Linked DNA regions of Tamandua tetradactyla. The protein of the gene in region 1 purifies or fractionates together with the protein of each later gene. This does not show direct contact. Links are inferred from orthologs where the notes say so. Each region holds a gene or a part of one and is shown on either strand. Other genes may lie near its edges.

Evidence for each region.
Region 2: the proteins of CDK5RAP2 (region 1) and PCNT purify together in Homo sapiens (co-immunoprecipitation; 4 studies listed by BioGRID and IntAct, with this or other methods). This does not show direct contact. The link is inferred for Tamandua tetradactyla from reciprocal best matches to the Homo sapiens genes CDK5RAP2 and PCNT.

Annotation. Positions count from the first base shown.
Region 1 is NC_135328.1:36,966,059-36,982,344, forward strand, and holds the start of CDK5RAP2 (CDK5 regulatory subunit-associated protein 2), read left to right. Parts: upstream 1-9,241; 5' UTR 9,242-9,506; coding exon 9,507-9,562; coding exon of another isoform or gene 9,563-9,603; intron 9,604-9,701; exon of another isoform or gene 9,702-9,783; intron 9,784-13,416; coding exon 13,417-13,484; intron 13,485-16,286. UniProt on the Homo sapiens protein: Potential regulator of CDK5 activity via its interaction with CDK5R1. Negative regulator of centriole disengagement (licensing) which maintains centriole engagement and cohesion. Involved in regulation of mitotic spindle orientation.
Region 2 is NC_135336.1:108,610,074-108,625,757, forward strand, and holds the start of PCNT (pericentrin), read left to right. Parts: upstream 1-7,497; 5' UTR 7,498-7,623; coding exon 7,624-7,680; intron 7,681-10,284; coding exon 10,285-10,497; intron 10,498-15,684. UniProt on the Homo sapiens protein: Integral component of the filamentous matrix of the centrosome involved in the initial establishment of organized microtubule arrays in both mitosis and meiosis. Plays a role, together with DISC1, in the microtubule network formation.

The DNA.
Region 1 (16,286 bases):
TTAGGCTTATTCCTAGATACCTGATTCTTTTGGTTGCTATTTTGAATGGAATTTTTTCGTTAACTGTCACCTCAGATAGGTCATTGCTTGTAGATAGAAACATTATTGATTTTTGTACATTAATCTTTTATGATGCCATTTTGCTGAATATTTATTAGTTCAATTAGCTTTGTTATAGATTTCTCAGAGTTTTCCATGTATAGGATCATGTCATCTGCAAATAATGAAAGTTTTACATCTTCCTTTCCTATTTGAATGCATTTTATTTCTTTCTCCTGTTTAATCATTCCAGCTAGGACTTCTAATACAATGTGGAATAACAGTGGTGACAATGGGCATCCTTGTCTTGTTCCCAATCTTAGGGGGGATGCTTTCAGTTTCTCATCATTAGGTATGATACTGGCAATGGGTTTTTCATATATGCCTTTTATGATATTGAGAACATTTCCTTTGATTTCTAATTGTTGAAGTGTTTTAATAAGGAAAGGATGCTGAATTTTGTCCAATGCTTTTTAAGCATCAAGTGATATTATCATGTGATTTTCCCTTTTTGATTTGTTAACATGTGTATTATGTTGACTGATTTTCTTGTATTGAACCACCCTTGCATTCCTGATATAAATCCTACCTGGTTGTAATGTATAATTCTTTTGGTGACATTGGATTCGATTTGCTAGTATTTTGTTGAGAATTTTTTCATCCTATGTTTATTAGGGAGATTAGTCTGCAGTTTTCCTTTCTTGTAGTGTTTTTATCCAGTTTTGGTATTGGAGTGATGTTAACCTCATACAATGAGTTAGGTAGCATTCCTTTTTCCTCAATTATTTGGAAGAGTTTTTTTTTTTTTTTCCTATACGCCTTACCAGTCCCTTTCATTGTTCCCTGGTATTTCAGTCTACTCAATTTATTTTGAAGAGTTTGAGCAGGATTGTTGTTAGTTCTTTTTGGAATGTTTGATAAAATTCCCCTGTGAAGTTGTCTGGTCCTGGGCTTTTCTTTGTGGGAAGATTTCTGATGACTGGTTTAATATCTTTACTTGTAAATAGTGTGCTGAGATCTTCTATTTCTTCTTAAGTTAGTATAGGTAGTTTGTTGTTTCTAAGAATTTGTCAATTTCATCTAAGTTGTCTAGCTTGTTGTTCATAGTTTTTTTCTATGATTTAAAAAATTTCTTCATGATCCATGGTAACAACCCCCTTTCATTTCTGATTTTGTTTGTTTGCATCCTCTCTCTTTTTTTCTTTGTTTGTTTAGCTAGGGATCCATCAATTTTATTGATTTCTCAAAAGACCAACATTTTGTTTTGAGGATTCTTTTTGTTTTATTGCTCTCCAGTTTGTTTATTTCTGCTTTAATCTTTGCTATTTATCTTATTTTATTTACTTTAGGGTTAGTTTGCTGTTCTTTCTTTAAATTCTTAGGTCAGCAGTTAAGTCATTTATTTTTGCTCATTTTTGTTTTAAACATAGGCACTTAGGGCAATACATTTCTCTCTCATCAGTGCCTTTGCCACATCCCATAAATTCTGATATGTTGTATTCTTATTATTATTTGTCTTCAGATATTTACTGATTTCTCTAGTTTCTCCTTTGACCCATTGATTATTTAACAGTGTGCTGTTTAATCTCCAAATATTTGTGAAAGCTCTGTTTCTTTGTTGATAATTAATTTCCAACTTCAGCCTGTTGTGGACAGGGAAAGTCCTTTGGATAATTTCAATCTTATTAAATTTACAAAGACTCAGTTTGTGTCCCAGTATATGATCTATCCTGGAAAATATTCCATGTGTACTAGAGAATAATGTATATACTCGTGTTTTGGGGTATAATGATCTATATATGTCTATTAGGCCTAATTCATTTATCACATTGTTTAGGTTTTCTATTTCCTTGTTGATCCTCTCTCCGGTAGTTGTATCTATAGTGAAGTGTGGTGTATTGATGTCTCCAACTATTATTGTTGAAATGTCTAAAGCTCCCTTCAGTTTTGCCACTGTTTGCCTCATGTACTTTGGAGCTTGTTGATTGGGAGTATAAACATTTGTGATTGTTATTTCCTCTTGATGGATTGACCTTTTTAAAACATGTAGTGTCCTTCTTTGTTTCTTATGATATCTTTACATTTAAAGTCTATTTTATCTGATATCAGTATAGTGTTTTGGCTTACTAATGCTGCCAGAGTGCAATTTACGAGAGGTGGAATGGCTCTTATAAAGGGAATTCATTAAGTTGCAAGTTTACATATCTAAGGCCATAAAAATTGTCCAAACTTAGGCATCCGGAGAAAGACACCTTGACTCAAGAAAGGCTGATGGGTGCGGAATACCTGTGTCAACTGGGAAGGTGCATGGCTGGCATCTGCTGGTTCTTTGGTTTCTGGTTTCAAACAGCTTACCAGGGGGCTTTCTTCCAGCATCTCCAAAGGTCTGGATCTCCTGTTAGCTTTGTCAGCTGTAAACTCTCTCCAAAATATTTCTCCTTTGAAAGGACTCCAGTAAACTAATCACAATGCACCTTAAATGAGCAGAGTCACACTTCCATCTAATCAAAAGGTCACATCTGCAATTGAGTGGATTATATCTCTGTGGAAACAATCTAATCAAAAAGTTCCACCCTAAACAATACTGAATGAGGATTAAGAGAACATGACTTTTCTGGGGGTACATAACATTCTCAAACCAGCACATAAAGCTACTCGTGCTTTCTTTTGGCTACAGCTTGCGTAGAACATCTTTTTCCATCCTTTCACTTTCAATCTAATTGTCACCCTGGGTCTAAGATGCTTCTCTTGTAAAGAGCATATAGATGGATTATATTTTTAATCCATTCTGCTAATCTTTATCTTTTAATTGGTGAGTTTAGTTCATTAACATTCAAAGTTATTACTGTAAAAGCAGTTCTTGAATCTACCATCTACCATCCTATCCTTTAGTTTTTATTTGTCAGATATATATGTATATATTCTTTTCCCTCTCTCTCTTTTTAACCTTTAAATTAACATTGCTGGTTTTCTTCAATTCTGTGCCCTCCTCCAGATCTCCCTCTCCTGTTTTGTTTTTGTTTTTTTCCAGCGGACAGGACTTCCTTTAGCATTTCTTATAGGCCAGGTCTCTTGTTGACTAGTTTTCTGTCTTTGTTTGTCTTTGAAGATTTTAATCTCTCCCACAAGAGAGATTCCGCCTTCTTGCTTCCATGGTTTCTGTTGAATAGTTTGAACTCAGTCTTATGTGTTTTCCCTTGTATTTAGTAGATAGCTTTTCTCATGCTGCTTTCAGGAATTAGTTTCTCTTCAACATTTGACAGTTTGATTAGTATGTGTCTTGGAATGAGTCTATTTGAATATATTTTATTTGGAGTTCATTGGGCCTCTTTTATTTGTGTATTTATGTTTTTTATAAGAATTGGGAAGTTTTCCCTGATTATATCTTCAACTAACTTTGCCAGCCAGTGCTTTACTTGTCTCTTCTTCTGGGATACAAATGATTGTTGTATTGGTGTGCCTCTTGTTGTCCATTTCCCTAAGACCCAGCTCTATTTTTTTCCATCTTTCTTGCCATTTGTTCTTTTGTGCACTCTAGTTCAATTGTTTTGTCTTCTAGCACACTTACTCTTCCTTCTTCTTTGAATCTGCTATCGTTTGTCTCTAGTATATTTCTGATTTGGTCTACTGTATCTTTCATCTCTGTGAGATCTGCCATTTTTCTATTTAATCTTTTGAATTCTTCTTTATGCTCTTGTAGTGTCTTCCTGATATCCTTTATTTATTTATAAATATTCTTTTCAATATTCTGTGTTCCCTCTGGAGTTTTTGTCATTGGGCTAGGCTACTTCTGTTTGGATCATCATGTGTGTTCTAGTTTGCTAGCTGTCGGAATGCAATATACTAGAAATGGAATCTTTTAAAAAGGGGAATTTAATAAGCTGCAAATTTACAGATCTGAGGCCATGAAAATGTCCCAATTAAAGCAAGCCTATTAAAATGTCATAAGGTACCAACAAGAGATTACTTTCACTCAAGAAAGGCCAGTGAAATTCAGGGTTTCTCTCTCAACTGGAAAAGCACATGCAAACATGGCAATGTCTGCTAGCTTTCTCTCCAGGCTTCTTGTTTTATGAAGCTCCCCAGGGGCATATATCTTCTTCATCTCTAAAAATTTCTGGCTGTGTGGACTCTGGTAGTTCTCATGGCTCTCATGGATCTTGGTGCCTTTCTCACGGCTCTAAAAAAGGTACTCTCTCCAAAATGCTTCCTCCTCTAATGGATTCCAGTAAACTAATCAAGACATACCTGGAATGGGTGGAGTCACAACTCCATGGAAGCCAACTAATCAAAAGCTGATATCCACAATTGGGTGAGTCAGTTCTCTGTGGAGATAATCTAATCAAGTTTCCAACCTATAGTACTGAATAAGGATGAAAAGAAACAGCTGCTTCCATAAGATGGATCAGGATTAAAACATGGCTTTTCTAGGGTACATAATCCTTTCTAATCAGCACAATATGCTTTTTCATTTTATGTTGTGTTTGGGGCATTTGATTATCTTAGTAAGGTTATTTTTCAATCGGTTTCCTCCATTCATCTAAAGTTTTGCATTTTTTTGATTTTGCATTGAAGGTTTGCATTTATTTGGTTTTGCATTGAAGGTTTCCTTTTGTGCTTGTTTTGTCAGCAAGTCCAGGCCAAACCTTTCTTTGGCCTCAGTTTTGTCAACTGTAAAATCAATTATGTAAAAAATAAACAGTCTCTGATTCATAAGGTGACTGTGAGGATTGACTGTAAAGTACTTAACACACTACCTAGCACATAGTAAGAGACTAATACATGACAGTAAGAGACTAATACATTGTAGTGAATATCAGTTATTCATGGAATATCAGAGCTTAAGGAAATATTAATGTTGTACCTCAATGATCTCAGTTTACAGATGAGAAAGTAGACCCCAAAAGTTGAATAAGAGGTCTAAGATCACTGAGAAAACAGTGGGAACTATTTGGAAAATAGTCTGTAATAAGGACTGCTGATGGTGAGAGTTGGCTGGGAAGAGTTCTTGATACCAAGACTGCAGGTTAGTGTTCCTGCACAGCAGGATTTGGATACTCAGAATCTTCTGATTGAGTGGCCCAGAGGGTTCAAGAAACTAGGCCAGTGTCAGTCGTTGGCAGCATGGTACGGCAGAACTACTGCTGACCTTGGGACCAGAGAGACTTGGGTATGAATCTTGTCATAACCTTTAATTAGAAGTGTGGCCTAGCCAAATCTGGGACAATTTGCATAACAAAATAAATAACGATAGTAATGGAGTACAATCCATTGACTAAAATAAATATCCACGAGGAGTCCATGCTGATTTAAGTAAATAATTGAATGAATTTCTTATGTATAATTCTGATTAATAAATATAGAAATAATGTTGAAGGAATGATGAAAACAGAAAATCGCCATTTGACAAACACCACAGTATTGATTGTTTCAGGCAAGAATCATCAATGGATGCTAAAATTTGTGGGTGAAATTATGATGAAAAACAAGTGTTTACATGGGCCTCAAAGTATCCCCCACAAAATTCTTATTACAAAGGGAACATAGTAATTTTACATAGAGAAATGTGGCAGACACTCCTTGGCCAAGAGATCACACACAATATCACTAATTAATGAGATATTAACATCATGTACCTCCTGATATGATGCCCTAAGAAGGGCATGACATCACTTTCATGGAATTCTCACAAAAAGTATATAAACCTGCATGTAATCATGAGAAAACATCAAACAAACCCAAATAACTGGCAAGTTTTTCAATGGGATTGACATTATGAAGGAAAAAGAGATGGAAGAGACTAAGGAGATGTGACAATGTATTGACAATGGAGGCCCTGGGTTGGAAAAAGAGCATTAATGGAAAAATTGATGAAATTTAAATAAGGTCTGTAGATTAGAAAATCTATCAACATAATTTACTCTTTTTGACAATTATGCTTTGGTTAGTTATGATTTTAACATTTGGGGATGCTGAGTGAAGATTATATGGGGAATTCCTTTTTTCTAAGTCTGAAATTATTTCTAAGTAGGAAAAAAAACCAAACCAAAATAATTGTGGGTTTGGTCAAATCATTTCCCTTCTCTGAACTTTAGTTTCCTCATCTCTAGAACATGGAAATCATTCCAATCGATTTCATGGTTTCATGAGGATAAAATGAAACAGTGCAAAGTGCCAACATGCATGTATTTATCCTGCAAAAAGTTATCGTTGTTTTTAGAAATGGCACTTCATGTGTGTTGAGCTGTGTTCTCTATCCTAATGAGAAACATCTGGCTCCAAGCTACTGGCTTTAGCCATTTGATGTGACGTTGCCCAGGGAAATAAAAATGCCAGCTTTTGTGGTTGGGTGGCTGTTGTCAAGGAGATGGCTCCAGATAGTACAAACAGTTGGTGGTGACATCATCTTTAAGCTTGACTGAAAGGTCATGGTGAGACCTCTCTCTCCCTGACCATGAAACCACTAAATAGCAGGAAAAACAACTTTCTAAATAGTCTATCCTTTGTGCAAATTATTCTATTTTCAGTTTTCAGGGTCATTAAAGGGCTTAGTACATAGTGCAGGAGTACGGTCATTTGTTGAATAGGGCAATGGATTAATCATAATAACTCACAAGCTCTTTTTCTTGATAGTTATCAATGTATCTAATTAGATAATGTATCCATGTGAGCTTGGCATTGTCCTCCCCATTTTACACATAGGAAAACAAAAGCTCCAGCCAGGGAAAGGGACCTCAGCTCACAGATATGTTGGAGGAGTTTCCAGATAGAGAAATCAGGTGTACGGACTTGTAATACACCTGTACAGGATGTACAATCCTGTAATCATACTGCTGATACTAAGATTGATTTCTTAGCTACCTTGAAGCTACTAAAGGTAGAGTCCCATGAATGCAGCACTGAAATACTCTTGTCTGGATATAGACTTCACCTCTTAGACCCAAATTCAAAAGTGGAGAAAAACAAATAGGGAAGACAGGTTGCATCTATACTTAGGGCATTGGAGGTCAGCGACTTGGGCTTAAATTCAGGTTTTTCACTTATACCAACCAGCAATGGGACCTTCAGTAAATTATTTTTACCTCTTTGAGCCTCAGTTTTCTCATCATTCTGTAAATAAAAGGAAATATTAGTAGTACCTATTCCAGAGACTTGTTGTGAGGGTTAAATGACGGTTATATGCCTGGTGACACATAAGAGATACTCAAAAATAAGTAAGCTATCTTCTTGCTTCCTTTCTTAAGAGCTTTCAACAATTGAACTGAATTGTTCTTTCATAGGGAAGTGATGATTTGTTCTCTTAGCCTCTCTCACCAAAAAAATAATTGGTTTTGTGTTAGTAGCTTTGAAATAAAAACAGAGAAATCATCTCCAAAACTGCGAGAGCCTGAAAGGTCCATCCAGTCCAACCCTTTCATTTTACAGATGTAGAAACTAAGTCTCAGAGATAAGAGGTGGTCTGCCAAATATCACAGAGAGTTGGTAACAAAACCAGTGTGGCTATTCTGACATTCCAGTTTCCTTGCTTTGGATGCACTTTTTTATCTTCTGGCCTTAGCACTTGCAAAGAGTTTTGGTTCTAAGCTTCAAGGACTGCCCCCTATCTGGGGCAGGACACTGGGTGTGTCAACTGGCTCTTGCCCTCCCTCCCTTTTAGATCGATCCTGGGGTGCTTGAAGAACTGGGAAAGGAAAAGGGACAGACGTTGGCTTATGGGCCTCACTAAAGCTGAGGGAGGGAGAGAGGAGGAATGGAGAGAGAGAGAGAGAGAGAGAGAGAGAGAGAGAGAGAGAGAGAGAGAGAGAGAGAGAGAGAGAGAGAGAGAGAGAGAGAGAGAGAGAGAGAGAGAGAGAGAGAGAGAGAATAAACATGCAATTACCACTGACTGACTTCTTAAAGGTATCTCAGGTGGTCACAAAAACCTTGCAGGATAGATATTAGCCCCATTTTCCAGATTGAGTGATTGAATCATTCATTCACCTACCATTTTTAAAAACACATACTGGGTAGCAGGCCCAATATATGCTATATGTAGTGAATATAGCAGTGAACAATTCAAACACAGTCTCTACCCTCATGGAGCTTTCAGTCTAATGCAACAGAAAGATTGAAATGCACACACACACATATAAATACATAATTGCAAAATCTGGTAGATGCTACCAAGGCAAAACAAGAGGTGCTAAGAACAAGAAATGGACCTTATTTATACTGGAGGATCAGGGAAGGCCTCTTTTAGAACATGGCATTTAAATCGAAGAATGATGAAACTAAGGCCAAGAGGGGGCTTATTTATGGATATAGGGAAAGTCATCACCTACCAACTCACCCATTTTTTCAAGTTGTTTTCATCCACTACTCTTCCCAACAACCTGCAGAGGAAGGTGGTAGCACTGAGATAGGGAGAGGAACGTTGATTTCACTGATCAGGTTTCGTCAAAATTATCTAGGCGTTTAGTGGTAGATGTGTGCTTAAATAGAGACAGTCAATGTTATGGAGAGAGCCATGAACCAGTTGGCAGCGGCCGCATATCCGGCCTAGGTCGACAGACTTAACTGTGTATGTCTTTGGGAAAGCCATTCTCTCCCTCTGGGCCTCAGTTTACTGATTTTAGGTGCTGAGCCCTAAAGATAATAAAGGATCACTAGGTGAGAGATTGGAGTGGGAGTGTCGCTGAGCACTTCTTGGTTCATAGAGATAAACTTATTTACTTCAAACCAATTACGCAAATTAGGACTTGAGTTGGGATTCCACATTTAGGATTCTTCCAAAGCAAGGCAGCACCCGATTATATGAGTTTAAAATTAAGGCGAAAGGACTGGCAACCGTGGCTAAGTGGCAGAGTTCTCGCCTGCCATGCCGGAGACTCGAATTGGATTCCGGATCCTGCGCATGCAAAAAAGAAAAAAAAAATTAAGGCGAAAGCCTTTGGACGTGGAGCCATCATTCTGTAAAGGGAAACACAGTTTAAAAACTCTGTGGGTCCGTGAGAGACAGGATCCCACTTCCCGCTTAAATTAACGACCGGGACGGTTATGCGCCCTCAACAAAGATGGCGCCTGCCCTGACTTCGGCCTAAGTGCCCTCACCAAAAAAAAAAAAAAAAGAGCCGTCGGAACCCTCTTTTTTTTTTTAGTCCTCCTAGGGTGCGGATGACCTACCCTTAGTAAAGATGGCGCCAGCCTGAGCTTCCCTGCCCGGTCTGTAGCTTTGGCCGGTCGGCTTCATCTCGCGCGTTTCGGGGACCCCGCCTCGTTTCCGTAGGAAGAAGCGCGGGGAAAGATGGCGGCTGCTGCGGTTTGAATTCCAGCGGCGCCCCTAGAGTTCGAACGAGAGCTGGGTTGGAGGGGGCGGGGACCCGGGAAACCCGGCGGGTCGCTCCAGCGTGGGGAGTGTGGGGGTGGGGGCGGGAACCAGTGGCGCCGCTACCACAGTCACTAACGCCACCACCGCATTTGTGCCCATAATGAACTCGGCGTTGGAGGAGAACGTCACCCTCCCCGGGACGCTGAGCGGCTGCAGGTGCGGCCCGGGCTCCAGGATTCGCCTTGAGGAATCTTTGGGTTTGCTCTTGTGTGTGCGTGTGAGCGTCTCCTGACAGGGTAGTGTGTCGGGTGGGTTGCCTGCGGGGTGAGGGTGGGGCTGTTCTTAGGGAGCTCACCTTCTGAAACTGTGGGGATTCCTGGGGGACCCGATCTGCAACACACCCGCTTCTGATATTTCCAGACGTACTTTGAGGAGGGTGTGAAGGACGGGTAAGTGGTTTTCTGAAAGAGCGGGACAAGGGGGCCTCTTGGAGTGTGCCATAAGTGGAGGCTCCGTGGGGGATATGGCGTCTTAAGTAGGGCCTTTGAAGAGATTTTATGGTTCATTCAGGGTTGGGGATTTGCTTTCTTTATGGGAAGTGTAGTCCATATGTCCAGACTTTGTTCATAGGACTATGGAGACTGAGGCGATGGAGTGCAGTGGTTAAGGTATTGGCTGGAGTCAGACAGAATTGGATTCAAATTCAGCCTTGTAAACTGTCCATCAGTAGAGGAGTGGGAAAATAATCGTTGTTTAAAAAGTGTCTTTCTGACTATTTGTGTTCCATTAGTGGTCATGAAATTCAGTTTAGTAGGTTGTAGCCAGAGGTTAAAAAAAATCGAGTAGAACAATAGAAATAGTTCAAGAATTAAGGGTAATATATTTTCTTCTAAGGGTTGTGGTCAGTAAAGTTTGAAAAACAGTGCTGTAGAATGCTTTGTGGGAGTTAAAAATATTGAGGTAAATTCATTTGTACTGACATGTAAACATCTCTAGGACACCGTGTGTGAAGAAGATGTAAAATGATATGTGCAGTATGATGGCATTTATGTTTTTTTTAAATCACAGAATAAAACTATTTCTCTAAGTGTGTAAATACACAGAAGAAGGCTTGGAAGAATGAATATGCTGACAACAGTACTTGCGTCTTAAGATAGGGGTGAGGAGTAGTTAGGGTGAACTTTAAGTTTAGGTGAACTTTAGGTTTATCTGTATTTTTTGACTTATAATTATGTATTATTGCTCTGATTAAGAGAAGGGAACAGAAAGGAAAGTGAATTGTTGAACTACAAACAGAAGTACACTTAGTGTAATTGTAAGTCTGAATGTAATGTCCAGTCCCGTCCAAGAGCTGTCAGGACACTTTAAAAATGAAACAGCTCTCCTTGGGTCTTGTGTGAATGAACAGTTGTTGCCACTTAAGCACAGAAAGAGATAACTCCTTTTGGGTGCCATTAGAGTGAGATCGGAGAAGGGGATGGTGCAGCTCAGGCAAGGGTTCATTTTTTCCCTCAACGAATATACAACAAATAGCTGCCTTTGTAGCTGTGCATTGTGCTAAGTGCTTTAAGTCCTCTGCCTACTTCATGCTGTCTTCACCACAACCCAGTTGAAAATGTTAGGGTTGCCAGAGTAGTGAGCATGGTGTTTGAAATCAAGCTGGTTTGGGATTTTTAGCTTATTAAATTGAGGGACCTGTTTGCTTGTTTAAAAAAAAAAAGTGGCAGCATTTAAAAAATACCACTTACTTCAGAAGGGCTGTGGTAAGGATTAAATGGGAGGTTGTCTCATCCTGAGCGTGGTTGCCTGTACTGGAGTGCTCCGTTCTGGTTAGGTTTTTGTGATCATTATACTTTATTTTGCCCACGAGGAAACTTACCCTACTGCATGCCATATCCATTTAGGAGCTTTGGGTGGTCTAGGCACAGGGTCAGCGAGTGGAAAGGGTGCTGAGAGACTGGGATTTTGGCCTCATTTTTGCCACTAACCCTTGAGGTTCTTTCTCCTCCCTGGACCTCCGCTCCCAATGCGTACAATGATAAAATCGTATCTAAGTTTTCTTCCTTTGTTTTCATTATTTTGGTTTCTAGTAAAAATCCTTCAGGCCCCAACCTTAGTTATCAGGCTTAGAGAACCTCACAAGGGACAGAGGAACTGCTCCTGGCTGGAGGTGTTAATTGGAACCAGCTGGAGGATGCAGAGGTCAGAGATTCATAACATTTTTAAAGTTGGTAGCCTAACTTTAAGTGGAAATTTGGCAGGAACCAAACAGGAACTTGTTCATTACATGGTGGGTTTCTTCTAAGAATTGGGATATCAGATGTTATTTTTCAGACTTTAATGTTTGCCTTTGGGTAGCTTGCCTAAGATCAAATTGTTTGACTTTGCCTGTTAGGTAGTTTTCAGCTGTGATTGATCTTGGCTTGGGCATATAGAGACCAGACTCCAGCCTATGCTTGGCCAATAACCTTGGGCCTTTGGTCCACCATCTGTAAAAGGTGGTAGTGGAACTTGATCTTTTTTTTTTTTTTCACGGGCAGGCAGCGGAAATCGAACCTGGGTCTTTAGCATGGCAGGCGAGAACTCTACCTGCTGAGCCACCATGGCCTGCCTTTGATCTTAATTTTTAAAATTTGTTTTGGAAAATGGACTTTATCCCTCTAGTGATGCTTACTGCAGAAAATTGAGACTTACAGAAAATTAAAAAGAAGAAAAACATCTGTGATTTTCGCACAGATGATTATTTTTAATATTTCAGTACATTTCCTTTGTCTTGCTGTGTATTTATAGTTTACCTGATACCAAACAGGATTTGAAGGCATGTTCTGCTTTATAGCAGGCACGTTTTATCTACTCGTTGTCCTGATATTGAACTTTTATGGTATTTCCAGTTATTTGCTTGGTCTGGTCTTGAAAGTCTATTCCAATGCTAGAATTTGGTGGTCAGGCACAATTTTCCCCAAAACAGATTGAATTCAGATTTAGAGGCATATAAAGAACAGACTGCCAAGAAGTCAAGCTGAACTTCCATAAACTTCTAATTTACAACTGGGACAGTGGACAAATTGTTGGGGGTTAGATGTGAAGGGCCTGGATTGTGAACTTGGTTCTATCCTTAACTACCATGTGATTCTGGCTAAGCCTTTGCACTTTCCTTTGAAAAATGTGTGGGTCCTCAGGGAATTGGGTAATTCCAGTGATGTCATTTATAAATTATAAAGCACTATATGTTTTAAGGTGACAGTGATATTGCTCCCATTTATGGTGTTCCCGCAGTATGGCAAGAACTTTATTGGGCGCTGTGTATCTTATTTAATTCCCAATTTCTCTGAAGTGGCTGCTGTTCTCCTTTGACAGATGAAGGAAGTGAGGCTTGGAGAGGTATGTGGCAGAGCTTAGATTAGAATCCAAGGTAGTGTCTTTTGTGTTAAGTCATACCTCCTATTATGGTTCCATTTTCTGCCAATGTCTCCAAGTCCTCACTGAACTTATTTATATAATCCAACCAGTACAGCTTCTTGGATCAGTGAATTCTGCATTTTTCTTTAACATTCTTAAAGTATGTGGATTGGTACCTGATTCCCAGAACTGTTGGTAATGATAAGCATATTAATAATGATAATAATGACAGAAATGACAAGAGGTGCATGTATTGGGTACTTACTATACGCCAAGTGCTTATATGCATTAACTCATTTAATCTTTACAGATAGAGGGTGGTATCCCCATGTAACACAATAACAGAGAGTCAGAAACATAAGTAACTTGTACCTGGCACAGTGCCTTTGCACTTAACACATATTTGGCACACTGAACATTTGATGTTCAATAAATGAATGACCTTGCTGAAGGCCACCCAGCTACTGAATGGTAGAGCTAGAACTTAGTTCCAAAGTTAGAACACAGCTCCAAGCCTAAGTTCTTAACCTCTGTGCTGCATGCTTCCCGGGTAGTTTAGCTGTGTCTCCCTCATTGGTGGTGGCCTGATGATTGTCAGGTGCAGTCCAGTCAATCTTAATCTCTCTTGTTCAAATGCTAGCTCATGTCTTATTGCACATGTTCTTTCCTAGTGGCCTTGTTCCCAATTTACCATATGACCTGGATGGTATCAGCTCCAGTACTGGTTTGGGAAATGATGGTAAGTACACAAAGCTGGCATTCTATTGAGTAGAAAGAAAGGAAGTAGACACTAGACCATGAGCTCCTTGAGGCCTGAGACTGGTCTCTCTTATCTTTGAGGACAAACAAGAGTCCAGTCTTGCCTGGCACATAATAGGTGCTCAGTATTTTGTGTACATATTTATTTGCTCTCCACTTCCTTTCATGAACTCTGCACTGGAGGAATTCATGTCCTCTAGGCAGTAATCATAAGTTTTATTTCTTGCTACTGAGCTTCTAGGGATTCAGCCAGTATTTCCTGAACTGAACAACTGCAAGTAGGCTGGACACTGAATTGGTGGCTAGGTCAGGCATGAAGGTTCTGTTCGTTTCCAATGCCAAGTGCCTGGAAGCCCAGAAGGTTTGCCTTTTTCTGGAGTGCCAGGGCCTTTCAGCCGGTGGCTGGATTCTATTTGCTGGCTGAGGCCTAGCATTCCTACCTGGGCTTGCCCTTTGGAGACAAATAGCTGGCTAGATCCCAGGAGACAGTGCTGAGTAAATAAACAATATTGTGCTTAAGCTAGATTATGAGGAGATTTTCTGCTTTGCAGTTTGGGTTTTGATAAGTATTCTTCATAATTTTTGTTCTGAAAAAAATGAATGTTATCATAAATGGTTCTATGGAAAGAGCTAATGCTTTGCCTTGTTTAAATATCTTACACTTATTTTGTCATGTGTTTTCTTTTTCTCTTCTACAAAATGATGAGCTATGTGCAAAAGGAAGAAGTTTTTGAACAGAGTGAATAAATGTCACAAAGTTTATTACTTTAAACACAAAATCCAACGAGCCTGTTTTCTACTCTTCCTGCCTACAGGCAGTTAGAAGCAGAAAATTAAGGTAGAGAAGTACTCCTTGATTCAACCAATAGTGTACGCCTGCTTTATGCCAGTCTCTGAGCTTAGTACTGGAGATTAGCCTTGACCATGGTTATGGTCTAGCAGAAAAGACAAACAAATTATTCTGATGAGTGATATGATCAACATAGTGAGCAAAGAAGTATAAGGCCCTGAGAGGGGATCAGAAGGAGATTTACCCTGGTATGAAGGAAGTGGGTCAGGCAAGAATTTTCTTTGGAACTGATATTGAAGCTGTGACTTAAAGAATGAGTAGGACCTAGATAGGGAGAAAGGTGACAGAACACGGCATGTTTGAGAAACAGGAAAACAAACATGAGTACCCTTTACCTGGGTCAGAGAGCTCTTCAGTTTGTCTTTTCCCAACTCCTAAGCCTTTTCCATGCATGCACTACATACGAAAGTTTCTGAATGCCATGTGTACTGCCACTTCTGTGCTTTTGCATGAGTTGTTTCTACTTTCTTTTGTGCCCCTCTTCTCCCCAGTGCACGCTTGTTGCTTTAAGACTCAATTCAAACTTACTGCCTTCTTTGGCTCTCCCCAGGTTGACTTAGATTTGTTTTCCTGTCTGAACCTTATATATTTCATTTCGTTTTGTTTCATTTTATCTCATCTCGTCATCTCATCTCAGTCTCCTCTGATTTCTCTTCTCATCTTTCCTCTCTCCTCTGATTTTTCCTCTTATCTCCTGTCATCTCAACTCTTCTCTCATCTCTCACCTCACTTCTCCTCACCTCATTTCTCACCTCATCTCTTCTCTCACCTCTCCTCTCACCTCATTTCTCTTCTCTTTTTTCATTTCTCATCTCTCATTTCATTTCTTTCTTCCTATTTGCTACCACTTCTCATCTACACTGCTTCCTCTATGGTCCAAGCACCATTATCTCTGACCTGGATGGATTATTCCAGTAGTCTCCTAACTGCGTCTGTCCTCAGCTCTGTACAGTTTGTTTTCCCATGACAGCCGAGGGAGCCTTTAGAAACTTAAGTCAGATCATGTCACTCCTTAGTTCAGAATCCTCCAGTAGTTCCTCACAGACCATAGAAGAGCTTACAAGGGCACGCATAGTCTGTCTCCTGTTACCTCTCTGACCTCCTTTTTACTCTTTCCTTTGTTTAACTTTTCTCAGGCCATTGCCTCCTAGCTGTTTCTCAAATCCACTAGGCATGCTTCCACCTCAGCCTTCTCCCTTTACCTGGATATATAGCTCTTTATCTTCAAGTCTTTGTCCAGATGTCATCTTCTCATGGAGACGGTCTTTGAAAACCACTTTATTTAAAATTGTTATCCTCACCCAAGTGCTGGTAGCTCCTTATCTACAATATTTTTCTCTGTGGTATTTATCATTTTCTAATATATTTGAACTCTTATTTTGCTTATTGTCTCTCTACTCCCTCTAGAGCATCAGCTTCTTTTGTCTGTTTTGTTTCCTAATGTAGCCACATCTGGAATGGTGGTCGCAGAGAGTAGGCACTCAGTGCATATCTGTTGAAAGAATGAATTTATTCACTCAACACACATTTACTCAAGACCTGAAATGTGCCAAGTACTTGTTGCAGTGCAATAATGGTGTGTTCCCATTTCTGTCTTGCCCAGTTCTTAGGTTGTCTCCTGGTGCAGAATCAGTGTCGCCTTCATCATTGTTTCCCCAGCATCTAGCACATTGCTTGGCACAGAGCAGATGTGTAATAAATATATTTTGAATTTAAAAAGCTGTGGAAAGATTTAGTATTGACAGGGTTTTTAATCACTCTGAAGCAGGGATTGGCAAACTATGGCCTCTGGGTCAAATCTGGTTGGCTGCATGCTTTTATAAAAATTAAAAATAATTTTTTTATTAGAGAAGTTGTAGAGTTACAGAAAAACCATACAGAAAGTATAGAATTCACAAATACTTCTCACACATGTAGTTTTTCCTATTTTTT
Region 2 (15,684 bases), on another chromosome or scaffold:
GTGGAGGCGGACAAGGCGCGAGGAGGCCCAGGGCAGAGCGCGGCGGGATGGGTAGGGGGAGGTGGCGAGGGGTGGGAGGGGGAGAGGGTAGGAGGAGGGGCGGCGGTGCGTGGGGGGACGGGGCGTGGGGGCGGCGGGACAGGTCCCCTGTTCCTTTGCCCCCGCACGTGCTGGGCCGAGGCAGGCAGCCTTTCCCTCCGCGCAGCAGGGCCCCTTGGCCGTCGGCCCCAGCGGACTTCGGGCAGCGCCGGGGAGACGAGCGCGTCCCGCCCTGCCCCCCCGCGGGGACCCCCTGGGATGGAGCGCTGCAGCCACGGGAAGCCGGGGCGGGACAGCCAGGGCGGGCCCGGAGTCCTCAGAGCCGCCGCGGGGCGGGACTGGAAAGCGGGTTGGCGGGGGCAGCAGTTGCGCGGTCCGTGGCCGAGCGCCGGGCTTGGGGAGGTCCGGCTGGGCCCTGCTGCCCGGGACCCCGCGGCCGGCTCGCCCCCAGCGGGCGGTGCAGGGTCCTGCTCGCCCGTCCTCTCCGGACCCCCCACCACAGCTGATGCGGAGGGACCCGGCCCCCACCGCCGCGGCCTCCAGGCGAGGTAGCTAGGCTCTGTGCCTCAGTTTCCTCATTTGAAAGTAAGGACCGCAAGGGGCTCTGCCCCACGGTGGCGGGGATAAAATAGTCAAGGCGGGATAAAATTGTCAAGGCGAGGAACGTGCACATGACGTGTGGGGCAGCCGTGGGGGGAGGGTGACGAACAGGAGCCACGAGATGGGCGCAGCCCCTGCGGGCCGCGGGGGACGGCGGCATGTGCAGGAGAGGAGGTGGGGTGCAGGGGGCTCTGCCTTGTTCCACCAGCGGAACCCCTCCCTGCTTGTCTTGTTTTCCTTCTGTTCAACCACCGACCTCTCTTGTCCGGCCCCCTTCCCTGCCCTCGAGGCCCTGCTGGCCAAGGAGGAAGAGGCTGGCTGTTGGGGGGGGGGGGGGGAAGGCTGCAGGAAGCTCTGGCAGTCTGGGGGTGCAGCGGCGGGTGTCATGCCTCCCGTATCCACCATGCCAACCCCTAGCCTACTCGTGGAGGAGGAAGGCAAAAGGGGAATCTCTAGTATGAGTTTTCTGTAGCTACCATAACAAATTACCACAGATTAAGTGGTTCAAAACAACACAAATTTACTGTCTTCTGTTCTGGGCAGCAGAAGTCAGAAATGAGTCTCAGTAGGTTAAACTCAAGGTGTCGGCAGAGTTGTGCCCCTTTGGGGGCTCTAGAGGAGAAACGTCGCATTGCCTTTTCCAGTTCCTGGAGGCTCCTTGGCTTGTGGCCCCTTCCTCCACCTTCAAGGCTGCACGTACTCCTGCCCCCCTGCCACAGGACCCCTTGTGATCTCACCCAGCCACCTGTATGATCCAGGATCTTAAAATCCTTCACCTAATCCCATTTGCAGTCTCTTTTGCCGTTTGAGGTACTGTCTTCACAGACCTGGGGATAAGGACGTAGTTGGGGGCCATTATTTTGCTGGCCACAGCTGTCCCTCCAAGCACAGCACATCTGCAGAATTGAGCCCAAAGGACTAGCCTTTCTGTGCCAGGGTGACCAAGTTCTAGAAAATTTGAGGGGCCAGTTCTCGATGAACACTCTTGAGAATGAGCATCTAGGAAGCATGATCATTAAAAGCGAAGTTTCATTTACCTCCCATATTGTTATATGCATCGAAAAGAGTGACCCTGTCTACCCTTCAGGTGGCAATGCAGGGCAACCTGTTTCCTGTTTTAGCAACCAGTTAGTGATTCACACACTCATTGCCCAATGTCATGCTGAAAACAACGTATACCCTTTAAACCCACTTTTCCCTTCCCTATGCTCCCAGACACCGGAACAGGTTTCTCTCATGCCCATCCCATGGTACAGACACCAGGATGTGTCCCCTCTTTCAAGGAAGGACTTGCTGCCCAGAGGCGGGAGTGTGGTCAGCTGATGTCTCCAGCTGTTGGCTTCTGCAGATTGTTTTGGAGTGGTGAGTGGCCTGGTTGGATGGTCAGTATTCTGGAATATGTGAGAAGTGGATACAAGGAGGTCTGGGTTGGAGACATACACAGATATTCTGAAGTGGTAATCCCGCATCATCTGAATGCCCAACAGACCATCCACCAACAAACACAAGGAACAACGAAGACCAGTTGATGCCACCTGCCTTGCCCATCAGCCACTGCAGTGGGGCCTTGTGTCCATGTGGCAGAGATGGAGGTTGGGAGCCCACCAAACCTGATATAGCTACTGCTGCCTCCAAACGAGAAGGGTGTTTAGTTGCCTACCTGGCTGCATCCTTGGAGACCAACCAAACCTGTGATGTCAGTCTTTCATCTTGGGGGTCCCGGCGTTCACTTTAACCGGAACAGACACATATTCCAAGTATGAGCTTGCCTTTCCTGCCTGCAGAGTCTCAGCCTGCCCTCTTCTCTGGGAGCTTAGAGTGGTGGATCTACTAGCATGGGATCCCTCATGACACATCAGTTGAGGCACTGCTTTACAGCACAGCCACAGGACTGGAGTAAATGCTTTAAAACAGAGACTCCTATATGACACCCTGTCCCCAACAGGAAGAACACATGCGTCCAAGAGCGACCCCCCCCCCCCACGTGGCCCACTGGGGGACTTTGTGCTTCCTGTCCGTGCAACCCTGGGCTCTGTAGGGCTGGACGTCTGGGTTTCAAGATTCCCACTGAACTAGTAACTCTGTCTGCCCCGGGCATTTGGGATCATCTCCAGGGATCAGCAGGAGAGAGAAGATGAACAGGGGCAGGGAAAGAACACAACTGAACTCTAAATAATGCTAGCTGTCTCCTGAGAGTACCTCGCCTAGTGGTGAATGGGAAATGAACACATACAGCACCCCTAGCCTAAGAAGGGCATGGTGGGCGACCAGGGATCAGACGCCTCTGGGATGATGGCTTGGGTCCCACTACCTGCTAAGCCACCAGATAAGCCACCAGAGGTTTCTAGCCGAGGGTAAGGGGAATCTAGAATGTACGTGGGGTGTGAAACCAAATTTACTGCAGCTCCAGGACGAGCTGCAGTGGCGGAGACTGTTGTTCACCTCAGTAACCTTCCTTTTTGAAGTCCTCCCTCAAAAAAAATTTCCCCCAAGAAAAGGGAACCTGAGAAGTGGACAAAGAGATGTGCTATTCAAAAGGCCCTTCAAGGTGAAACGTAGGAGAGCCAGCAGAAGCGGACAAAATGGCTCCCGGAGGTTTGGGTCGTATCAGCGATTAGTAGCGGTCACACCAAAAAGATTATTCTCCCTCATCCAGCAGTGCTCGGGAAGCCTCATGAAGTCCCAGCTCAGTCTCGGGCCGTGACTCCCAAAGTAGACTAGCCCGAGGCCTTTGAAATGGTTTTCTTTCCTGCATCGGGTTCACTAACCCTAAGTGCCGGGCAGGTTTAGGAAAAGGAGGCCAAGTTTCCTTGGGAGGATAATTCACACCAATGTTGGGAGCAATGGAATAGGCTTTGGATCATTAAAACAATCAACAGCAACAAAAATATCAGCCAGTTAACTTGTGCATCTTTGGAATCTACATTTTCTTCTTCAGAAGCCTGAAGGTTTCAGGTTTGATTTATGGGGTGTTGCTTTGTCCCCAGCATAACATTCAGGTGTGATACCATTTCCCCACTTACTGGTTGTGAAATCACTAAACGGGATGTGATCCTCAGTTGAAGCAAGGAGAGCATGAATGATGGAACAAATGTAAAGGAGATATTGTCAAGTTTCCTAAGTTGGAAGATGGAAGATTATTGATTTTAGACATTTCATCTTTTCTAACACTCTTCCATTCTTCATGTAGATCTGAGTTTCTGGCCTGGATAATTTTTCACTCTCTGAAGAACTTCTTTTAACATTTCTTTCAAGACAGATAGATCTCCTTGTGACAAAGTCCCTCAGTTTTTATTTGACACCTAAGACAGTAAGAAGCAAAAAGAACAGCATAACAAAAGGCTTATGAGTGAAGTTACGTCTACTTTCATGACAGCACAGGCCTTAAGATGGAGGGAGAGAAAGTTGGGAAAATACACTACAGACATTGTTTCCTCAAAATAACACCTCTCTGAATGTGACTTCACTTGAAAGAATTTGTTTCATGCTTAACTAAGTACGATGGAAGAAAGAATGAAGACAGTGAGTTTTGCCATAGTTTGTCCCACATGGTAGTCATCCCCCTTAAGTGTAATGAGTATCAAAGTCTTCTTTTGGAAATTCAACCTCAGGAGATGCCTAAGAATTAATACTTGAGAGAAACCATTTGGATTTAATGAATGTGGGAAAGTTACACATCAGAGAAATCATGAAGGAATAAAACCCTGTGTGTAGGCTTCTTACCTTCCATCTTTCCTTGCTAGAGTGCTACATGTCTTCTCACATGTGTGTTCAATAAACTTTATTAAAAAAAAAACCCTTTGTATAAGCAATATTGGAAATACTACAGCCAGCATGAAATCACATTAAGCATGAGAATATTCATACATTAATTAGTATTGTAATGATCCTGGGAATATGTTTATCTGAAGCAAAATCTCATGGAGCATGAGAAAATTCATACTAGAGAGAAATGATATATGAGTGTCCTGGATGTAGTACATCTCTTTGTAGTCATCTTTTACTTCACATTTGAAAAGCCGTACAGGGCAACAGCATATAAATGTAATGTGGGAAAGCTTTAAACCAGATGGAAAACCTCTGTATTCATTAGAGAAATCATATACTTGTGGGAAAGCTTTAATTCAAATGCCAAATCTCAGACACAAGAGATTTCATACTAGAAAGAAACCTTATGCATGTAAGGAATGTGAAAAAACTTTCAGTCATAAATCACATCTCACAGAACATGAGAAAACTCACAATGGAGAGAAAGAATATGAATGTAAAGAATGTGGGAAAGTCTTCAGCCAAAAACAATGTCTTATTAAACATTGGAGCATACATACTGGAGAAAAACCTTATATATGCAGTGAATGTGGAAAAGCCTTTAACCAGAAGGAAAACTTGATTACCCATCATAGAATCCATACTGGAGAGAAACCTTATGAATGTGATGGATGTGGGAAAGCTTTCATTCAGAAATCAAGCCTCACTACACACCAGAGAAGACATACTGGAGAGAAACCCTTTATATGTAAGAAATGTGGGAAAGCCTTCAGTGACAAATCTAATCTCACCGAGCATGAGAAAATTCATACTGAAGAGAAACCTTATAAATGCAATGAATGTGGAACAGCCTTCAGCCAGAGGCAGTATCTCATTAAACAACATTCATACTGGAGAGAAACCCTACGAATGTAATAAATGTGGGAAAGCCTTTTCTCAAATCACATCACTAATTGTACATGTGAGAATTCATACAGGTGATAAACCTTATGAGTGTAATATATGTGGGAAAGCATTCTCTCAAAGTTCATCTCTTACTGTACATATTAGAAGTCATACAGGTGAGAAGCCTTATGGTTGTGATGATTGTGGAAAAGCCTTTTCTCAGTTCTCAACTCTTGCTTCACATGCAAGAATCCATACGGGTGAGAAGCCTTATCAGTGTAGTGTGTGTGGAAAAGCTTTTAGCCAGAAGTCACACCATATTAGACATCAGAGAATTCATACTCATTAAAAGTGCTGTGAATTCCTAGAATAAAGAAGGCCTTCAGATTCATAGCCCATTAGAAAAGTCATTCTAAAACAAAATACCATGAATGTCGGAAAGCCTTAAAAAGAAGACCAGTACTTAATATCTAAGAATTTTCATAAGGAGAAAGGATTAATAAAATTCTGACTTGTCCTACACAAACTCATAGTATATGCTATTGTTGGACTTTTAAAAGCCTTCTCATTAAGAAGCAAGTACGACTCCTGCTATACCTCTGCTGCTAAACATGGTCATGAGTGGAGATTCTAACTAGTGCAGTAAAGTGAAAGAAGTGGTATACAAATTAGAAAGGAAGAGACAAAGTTACCATGTTTGTACCGTGTAATATGATACCCTACATAATGCTATAATTATTAAAATTGTTTCATGTTGATGTAATAGTTACGTGGAATAGAATATGTTGTCAAGAAACATGGCCATACATTTGTAGGAAAGGAATGGAGTAGCCACTAGTAAGGAATTGAGTAGATAAAGGGTGTCGTATTTGCACAACAGAAAATTATAGAACAGTTAAATAATGTATATATTAGCAAGAAAACATTGCAAGCATCTGAGTGAAAAAACTCAAGACACAAAATGATGCATATACTATGCTACATTTTTTCTAAGTTTGAGTAAAACAAAGGCTAATGCTGTACATTGATTATGGATTCATATGTGTATGTAATAAATAACAAAAAATAATTTGAAACTGTATGTGCCAAAGTCTTTGCAGTGATTCCCTCTACGGAGAGGAGAGAAGAGACTAGGGGTGGTGATTGAACAGAACGTTTGGCTTTACATTTAAAGTTTCATTTCTAATTAAAAAGAAAAAGCTAAAGCATATAAAACAAGTGTAAGCTAATTTTTAAAACTTGGAGGATAAGGAAAGGAAAGCTGTTACTGCAGAAATCATGTTAAGTATGAAAAATAAAGTTGCAGCATATTAATAAAAAAAAAAAAAAAAAAAAAAGCCCTTCAGCCCAAGGCCTGCTGCCCAGAAGTGGGCAATGCGGTCAGCAGGTGTCTCCAGCTGTCAACTATTGGTTGACTGCTCAACTTTCCGGGGCAGCCCACCTCTAATCGCTTATTATCAGGCAGGGGTTAAAGGCCTGGCAATTTTGGCCGAAGTTGGGGCACCTAGGACCAGGCACGTTGCCTTTAAGGGGTTGGTGAAGGCCTTGTCCCGCCTGCCTCACTTTGAAGTCTCCCTCTGTCCACCCCTTTCTCCCCTCCTTTGCACAGGCCGTGATCTCCGGAATTTTCTCTCGCCCTGATTCTGCCTGGGCGCTCTACCCTAACCCTTCAGCTACCTGAGTTCAGTTAGGTTCATCGTACGACTATTTCTCAAACTCTGCCCTGCGCCACCGCCTGCCGGCACGGGGATGCAGTGTGAGCTGAGATGACCACAGCCTCGGCCCTCTGTCCGCAGTCAGTATCCAGGGGCCAAGAAGGAAACTGAGGCAGAGCGAGGGCAGAGGGGCGCGAACAGGAGAAGAACCTAGGGGAGGCCTGGGGGGGGGGCGGGAAATGCAGGCCCGAGCAGGTCCAGGACTAGAGGGCGGCAAGTCCCTAGGGCCTACGCACCCGGGGGCCCGCTCGCCTCGTCCAGGCCGTACCGCCCCAGCTGCACCGCTCGCTCCGGATTCCGCCAGGAGTGGCCAAGGCCATTTGAAACCGACCAACCCGAGCCAAGCCCGAAGCCTCTGTCCTTCGCTCATTGGTCCTGTCCGGGGAGCGCGCCGGGGAGGCCAAGCGCGCGTGCGCAAGAACGCGGTTCTTGATTGGCAGAAAAGGCGCGTGCGCCAGGGGCGAGGCCGGGCGTCGGGGCGGGCTGACGGCTGCGTGACAGTTGTCGCGGGGGGAGGGCGAGCCCGGACGAGGGGGAGGGAGTGTAAACAGAGCGAAACCAGCGCCGCCTCGGCCCCGCTGTTTCCCGGGCGGCTCGCGACAAGCCCCACGGGGAGATGGAAGAAGATGACCAAGAGCAGCGGCGGAGGAAGGTGGAGGCCGGGAGAGCAAAGGTAAATGGCAGGGCCCTCCTCCTCCTCCTCTCGCCCGAAGTCCTTAGAGCGGGCTCCAGTGCCTGCCTCTGCCCCTGCCAGGAGCGGGTGCCGGTCACGCGAGGCCGCCGCCGAAGTCTTGCTCTTTCCGCCGGCTCGGCTGGAAGACGCCTCCTGGCCGCCGCCATCTGGAATACGCCGCCCTCTGCCCGGGACCGCCCCCGCTACTCCCGTAGCCAATCAGGGCCCGGGGACGCACGGCGGCTCGCGGGGAGGCTGGCGCGGGGAACGCTGGGGCTCAGTGTGCTGCGCCTGCGTAGAGGACCTCGGGACCGGGGACCGGGGAGCGGGGAAAGCCAGGGAGCGCGGCTCCGGGCTAGGGGTCGGCTCCGCGGTGGGGGTCAACTCCGCGAAGTCACCTTCCTCCCGCCCCGGAAACGAGGCACTTGAGCCTCTTTTCGAGATTCGCTGCGAAGCCCGCTTGCGAGCGCGTCCAAGGAAAAGTTGGCGCCTGCGCAGCAGCGCCGCGTGTGGGCGGGAGCGCAGAAGGGAGGTGGCCGCGGCCAGCGCGCCGCGCGTGCTCGTGCACGTGCCTGCCGAGGCCGGTCTGGCGGTCAGCGTGCCGCGCGTGCACGTGCTTGCCGAGGCGCTGGGCTTCCCGCCCCTTCCCCGGAGGCCGCCGTCGCGGGCTCGTGCCCCTCCCAGTTCTGAACTAATAGAAGCGATCCTAGATCCCTCGTGATCTAGCTGCGGGCCTCTCCCGGGCTCTCCTTGGGGCGCAGGAGGAGCGGCTGGGCAGGTGAGGGTGGAGGAGAGAGGCCGGGCTGTGCTGGGGTTCTCCTGGACGGCCCTGAGTTGTTTTTAAGTTCCAGGATTGTTGAGGCTCCACTGAACCCAGTGTAGTGCTAGAGTCAGGCTTGTCCAGAGGATACTTCTGTCGTCTCCTTTCTGCCTGTTTTTTAAAAAATTTGATTGACAAACCTTCACACACATACAATCCATACATGATGTACAATCAGGGGCCCGCAGTAGCATCTCATAGTTGTGTAGTCTTGTTGTGGCATATTGTGGGGATTGAGTCGTGCTGTCTCGGTGACCCTGACTTGAGACGTTTGCATGTTCATCCCTGCCCCTCCCACCGCCTGAGGCTACGGGGCCCAGGCCAGGACCCGCCCTGCGGTGGGAAGAATGCTCAGCACTGGGCGAGCTGAGTCCCAGAACCAGAGGAATTGTGTTTGAGGTCAGACAGCCAAATATTGGTGATTTCTTAGGGATTATCTAATAATAGATCCTCTGGGCTAAGTAGGTCTTTGAGGAAACCACAATAAAGAAGGTATTCAGAAGGCTTACCAACAAGTGTGTGAGGCCACAGCAGGGATAATGCGGTGTGTATGATGGGGACAGGCAGAGGGTAGGGTGCTGCCATCTGTTCAGCTTCCCCTGACAGTGAGAGTTTTGGCTGGGGTGTGAAAAGGGATTCTATGGCATCCTTTTTTTCTCTCCTCTTGGATGTGTCTGGCACATACAAGGGCTAGGAAATGAAAATGAACACAGAGCTTCATGTTTACTTATGTCATTCCCTGTGCTTGCAGTTGATTAATGAAGTAAATGTGCTTTGAGAAGCAGTGATGATGGTGGAAGATTAGCATCATTTCAGGAAGAAACAAGATGATGACAGACATGCCCCACTTTGTCCCACATGGTTATATTTGATGGTGGAGGAAAATAAAATGAATGAAAATGGGGTTGGTTTTAAAGGTAGTCTCTGTCCTTAAGAGTATAGTATTCTCATGTAAATGGCCTTATGTAATTTTCCTGTGTCATTGAAATTGTGCACTTTTAGTAAATCATTTAGAGCATCTTTTTTATCAGATGTCTTTATGGCCATGGTTATCATTTGGGGGAGAAGTCTTCCTGTGAAAAGCTGATGTTCGATTTCATACCTTTTAAATAAGGTGTAGTGGGAATTAATGTGTGAACATAGTCTAAAACCCTCGGATTTGAGAAACCGAATAGTACTAAGTTGTATCTTGGGCGACATTCTGTGGAGGTCCCTGGTGCTTTGGTGAGCTGTGTCATGAAAAATAGAACATCTGATTCCACAAAGGAAGATGTTAGAGTGACCTGGCTTAATTAATTTTTTGCTATTTCTGTACCTTGTCTCAGAATCTATGGCTAGGAAGTTTTGGCTAGGGGGAAATGGAGGCAAAAAGGAGAGATTTATCTTTTATGTAATTTTAAACTTAAAGTGTGCCTTGATTACGTTATCAGTCTAATTGGATATATTTAAAAAAATTTATCTTTCTGTAAACTGGCAAAGGCTAGAAAAGCTATTCTGCCAATCAGCAGTATTGCTTTCCTTTGTCTGTAGAGGCACAACTAACGTCCTCATCGTTAGACTCTTTGGAGAGCCCTCTGAAGTTAAGTCCTAGCATTATAGAGAGTAGTGAAAGCAGTGCTTGTGGGAAAGTGGTCTGTTGGTTGGCGTGAGTCTGGCCAGGTGTGGCTGAGTGCACGGGGCCAGCTCTGGAGCCTCATGTTTCCCACGAGTCTGTTGACTTTGTGGTTCTGTTACTTTTTTCTCATTTACCTTTGCCTTTACTATTTCTCCACGTTTTTGCGCAGCTTGCTCACTTCCGACAGAGAAAAACAAAAGGTGACTGTACGCATTCGAAGAAAAAGACGGCGAAGAGGAAGGGCACGGTTGTCGATGCGCCTGTCCAGGAGGAGAATCCGCTAGCTGCTGAGGACCGTGGGCTCCCTGGAGGAGGAGACGTTTGGAAAAGTGCATCGTGCAGTAACACGCCTGGCAGGGCGGAAGGGGCATTTGCGGCTCAGGTAAGTGACTCAGCCTTGGGTCTTAACATTGTTTATCTTCTGGGATGAACTGGCACAGTTCACTAGTAGTCTTTTTGCTTTTCAAAATGGAGAAAGAGGTTTTATTTTATTTCACAAAAGGTGAGTAAATTCTTATGGTTTTACTTCTAATAAAGGTTTTATCATTGATAGAGATTTTGAGAGCTCTTGGATTGGCCTGTTTGAAGACAAGTTTCAGTGTCTTCTTTGGGAGCAGATGTTTTCCAAGTGGGAGTTCTTCATGTGAGGTTGTGAACATCGGCCATACTGGCATGTATTTTTTTGAAGCTTAACACATGACGCTTGTTCACCCTGCTGTCAGATCCACCTTATTTGTTGTCCTTTGTCCTTTACCTTCTTTTGAACATGAAACGAGAAGGGTGGGGGTGACAGGTGCTGCAGAAACCGTGTGCTGTTGGAGGAGGTGCTGCCATCTGCTGCTGGAGGCCTTGTGAGGTCTTGTGAACTGTGGCGTGGGGTGGGGAGGATGGGGATGCTGCTTGCTGTACCTGCACAGGTGTGACCTGAGCTAAGGTGAGTGGGCTGTGGCCTTGAGGGCTTGAGAACGCCAGGCCTGCTGGCCTCCCTGGGCCTACTATCTTCCCTTAGGACTGGCTTTTCTTAGGGCTGCTTCTTGGGTGGATCATAAATGAAGGACCTTGAATCGTGAGTGTCCCTGGCTGGTGCGCAACAGGGCAGTGTAAGGTTAGGTGTTTGCTAGACTAAGTGGAAAAATGGTGGCCAAGGGCAAAATTTGTCTCAAAGCATGATGGGTCTGGTCTTCTTATTTAAAAAAAACGGAATTATTGCTGTGAGGTAAATTCCTACAAATCTGAAATTTCTGCTTCTTTTCCAACTGGAAGACCTTCTTACAGTGCTGTCATGTTCCCCAGAGGAGCAGCTGGCCAGAGTGCCTTGGTGTCGGACCCTTTGGGCACAGGTCTTTGTTGTCCCTGAAGCTCTCAAGTTGAATGTCGGTTGCTGTTTGTCATCGTCCTTGCATTGCTGCTATGAGGGGGGAGGTGACCCTGGCTCAGTCAGAGCTGGAAGATGGGAGCTAGATAGAGAAGGCGAGTGAGTCCACAGCCTGCTGTCTGCTGCATGTTTCCCACCTGGGCTTTTGAGGAGAAAACTCAGAGTGGATAATTAATATTTATTAGGTGACTTTTTTGTTTTTACTTTCAAATCAGAAAATATTCTTTCTTTTAAGTTAAAAATTTAATAATTTTTAGCTTTTGTTTGGAAATAATGTCAGACTTAGGAAAAGTTGCAAAAAATAGTACTGGAAACTCTTTGCCCAGCTTCCTGAAGTGTGAATATCTTATATAATCATAATTATTGTCGAAACTGGAAGCTGACATCGACGTGATGCTGTGAACTAATTGATAAACCCTATTCACATTTTGCCTGTGGTCCCACTAATACCCCTTTTCTGGCCCAGGATCCCATGTTTATTTCAGTGTTATCCCCCAGTCTGGGGATGTACTAATATGTCTGTATGTTAAGAATGAGTAAATAAAAATGTTAATTAAATTAAGACAAAAGTTGAAAGCTAGTAATGAGAACCTAAACACAGACCTTACACCTTATACAAAAAGCAACTAAAAATGGGTTTTAGACCTAATTGTAAAAACAGAACTTTAAAACTTTTAAGAGAAAATCTACATGACTTTGGGTTTGGTGATATGCTTTTATGTACAACACCAAAAGCATGACCTTCAATAAAAATTGCTAAGTTGGAATTATTAAAATTAAGTGTCTACGAAAGACTGTTTTAAGGGGATGCAAGATAAGACACATGAGGGAAAAGATCTGCAAAACACTTATCTGATGAAAGAGTTACCTCCAGAATATACAAAGAGATTTTAAAATTCAACAGTAAGAAAGCAGTCCTATTAAAATCTCAGCAGACGTCTCACCAAAGAAGTTATACAGATGGAAAATAAGCACATGAAAAGATGCTCAGGCTCATTTGTTATTAAGGAAATGCGGATTAAAACAATAATGAGATACCGCTACATACCTATTAGAATGGCTAAAATTCAAAACACCGACCATAGCAATTGCTGGCAAGGATGTGGAGCAGTAGGAACTGGCATTTATTGCTGGTGGGAATGCAAAATGGTTCGGCCACTTTGGAAGACAGTTCAGTACATTCTTACAAAGCTAAATATAGCGTCATCATATAATCCCGAAATCATTTGCACTCCTAGGTATTTCCCCAATTAGTTTGAAAATTTAGGTCCACGCAAAAACCTGCACGTATTTTTTTGTTTAGCAATTTTATTTTTATAACAGCTTTATTCATAACCACTAAACATTGGAAGCCACCAAGATGTCCCTCAGCTGATGAATTGGATAAGCAAACTATGTGATAGTCCCACAATGAATAGTATTCAGCAGTAAAAAGGAATGACTCGTCAAGCCCTGCAAAGGCATGGATGACTCTTAAATGCCTGTTGCTAAGTGACAGACTGTACACTGTATGATTCCATGTATATGACATTCTGGAAAAGGCAAAACTGTAGGGTTGCCAGGAGTTTGTAGGGAGAGGGAGAGTTGAGTAGGTGGAGCTCGAGGGGTTTTTTAGGATGGTGCAGGTATTCTGTTTGATAGTGCAGTGATAGATGCATTGCATTATGCGTTTGTCAAAACCCCTAGACCTTACAGCACAGAGAGTGGACTTCAGTGTATGCAAATGAAGCAGGACTATGTTGGAGGTTGGGGGGATCCCGGAATGGAATGCAGAATGACAAAAGAATGTCTGAAATGTATGAAACAGCCTACTGAGGGGCTAGGAGGGAAAGATGGTGATCTCGGTAAGTTTGGAAATGAGAGGAGTCTGTATGACTAAAAAGGAGTTGCACCAAAGCACTGTCGTCTGGTTGAGGAAGTTGCTGCCAGTGGAGCTCTGGGCTCAAGGTCTGAAGCCACAGCACTTGTGGTGTGGAATTTGGGTACCTGCGTACATGGGTGGTGGATAGTGGAGGCCAGATTTCTCACTCTCTCATAACTTGTTTGTGCGGGTCCTCTTGGAGAACATTTGGGTCAGCGAGAGGTTGAGAGAATGCCTGAAGGAGTAGGGGGTATTGGGGATCCTGCTGCAGAGGTCAGGTCATCAGGGAAAGTGGGAGAGACAAGGTCAGGGGCACTTGGAAAGCAGCCGTAACTGGAAGGAGGTGAGGTCAACTGCAGGCTATGTTTAGAGAGAAGCTTTTGAAAGTTGATCTGAGAGGCTGGGGGAGGTTATGAGATACACTCCTGGAGAGAGCTCATCAGGAGTCGGAGTCCTGGAGTCTTCCCGGATTTCTGCGTGAAACAAAACAAAGAAGTCCAGGGCTCCAGGGCTCCAGGGCCCGTGGAGGTGGGATTTTGTGAAGGAGTGGGGTAGAAAGAGTCTATGGGCTATGTTAGTGCCTCTTCCATATTTGACAGGCAGTGATAAGGTCAAAGAAATACTAATTTTTCTCTCTCTCTCTTTTAACATGGGCAGGCACCGGAATCGAACCCGGGTCCTCGGGCATGGCAGGCAAGCACTCTTACCTGCTGAGCCACCGTGGCCTGCCCTCTCTCTTTTTTTTTTTTAATTGAAAGATAGAGAACATTCTAAATGTTTCTTCTTTTTTAAATTGTAGTTATTTTCTGCTTTGCTCCAAAAAGGCCGACTTTTTAAAAAGCAGTTTATTCTGAAAAATTAAAAAAAAAAAAAAGCAGTTTATTCTGAACTGCTCACGTTCCCTCTTGGTTTGGTGATAAATGGTCCTTGCAAGAGTGAACAGCTAGTGGGAAAATGGGCAGGAAAACGGTGTGTCCTGTGCTGGCCAGGAACAGCACAGCCTTGTGGGAAGAGGGGAGGCCAGAGGTCTTGGCCAGGGCATCGCATTTATTGGGCACTGGCCGTGTTCAGAGATTGGGATTCATCCACTATTTGAGTCACTATCTTATTTATTCTTTAAACAGCTGTCAATATGAGTAGTCACTTTACAGATAAGGGAGGTGGGCTGAGAGGTTAAAGTGGCAGGGCCTGGCAGACGTGGGTGGGGGCGAGTCCGTGGGGAGGGTGTGTTGTGGCTGCATCTGTACCTGGAGCGCCGAGAGGCCATGTCCTGGCTGTGGCTCAGGAAGGCAGGGATGGGCTGATGGGCTGATGGACTGCAGAGCTCTGAGAGGGCCAGGAAATAATTATCTTTGTGTTTTTAAAGGACACAAGGGCATATCTGCCTGTAAATCAGAGTCAACTTGACATTCCGAAGCACAGGCTAGAATAAATGAACTGGAGGAAAGTCTTCTGAGCAAGCAAGAAGCTGTTGACACACTTGGTTTGGAGGTGGGAACTTCATGCTCGTGTGGCTCAGACGCTGAACCCACCTCCTCCCAGCAGGTTTGATATCTTGTCTATTTCAGAGGAAATATCATGTTTAATGTAAAGTTTGAAGGCTAGGCGTTACCTTCTGAGTTCATGTTTTTTATTCTTTATTTCCTTTAAAAAAAGAAAACGAAAATGGTAGCTTACCTTTTGAATTGTACAACTAACTTTGTCTCCTGTGAATGGGGAGTGATTTACTCATCATTTTAGAGACTGGTGTGGGGTGAGGGACTGTTGGAGTGGATGGGTCCGGAACAGAGCGAGAGTGGAGAATGGAGAACAAAGAAGAAATCCAGGCAACCCGTCGGGCTGTGGGATGGTTGTGGGTGTGCAGGCTATGGATTCTTCCTGCTGCGGTGGGGTGGGGGCTGGGGCCGGAAGGGACAGAAGCTGGGTTGTTGGCGAGCCCTGGGCAGCCCTGCTGATGTGGGCCCTGCTGGCCATGCTGAGGCCCACTGAGGAACCCTGGGGGTTCGGGATCCTCTGCCTACAGCTTTGGCTCCCTTTTTAGTGGGGAAAGAATAAAATAAATTGGCAAGTGCAGTGAATTCTCAATTATCTAAACTGGTGGAGGGGTTGGAGAGGAGCTGGGTGCAGAATTCTTTCCTTCAGAGATTTGGAGTTGAGCTGACTTTCAGCAGGAGCTAAGCCTTTGCAGTTACACCTAGCTCAGTCTCAGATAGAAGCAGAGTTGTGAAGGAGAAGAGTGCTGGGTGGTTTGTTCACAAGGGCCGGGTCAGGAAGTGGTCAGATCACATGATATTGGTAGTGGCCCTCGAAATGCTGTACGTCTTTAAAGGGAA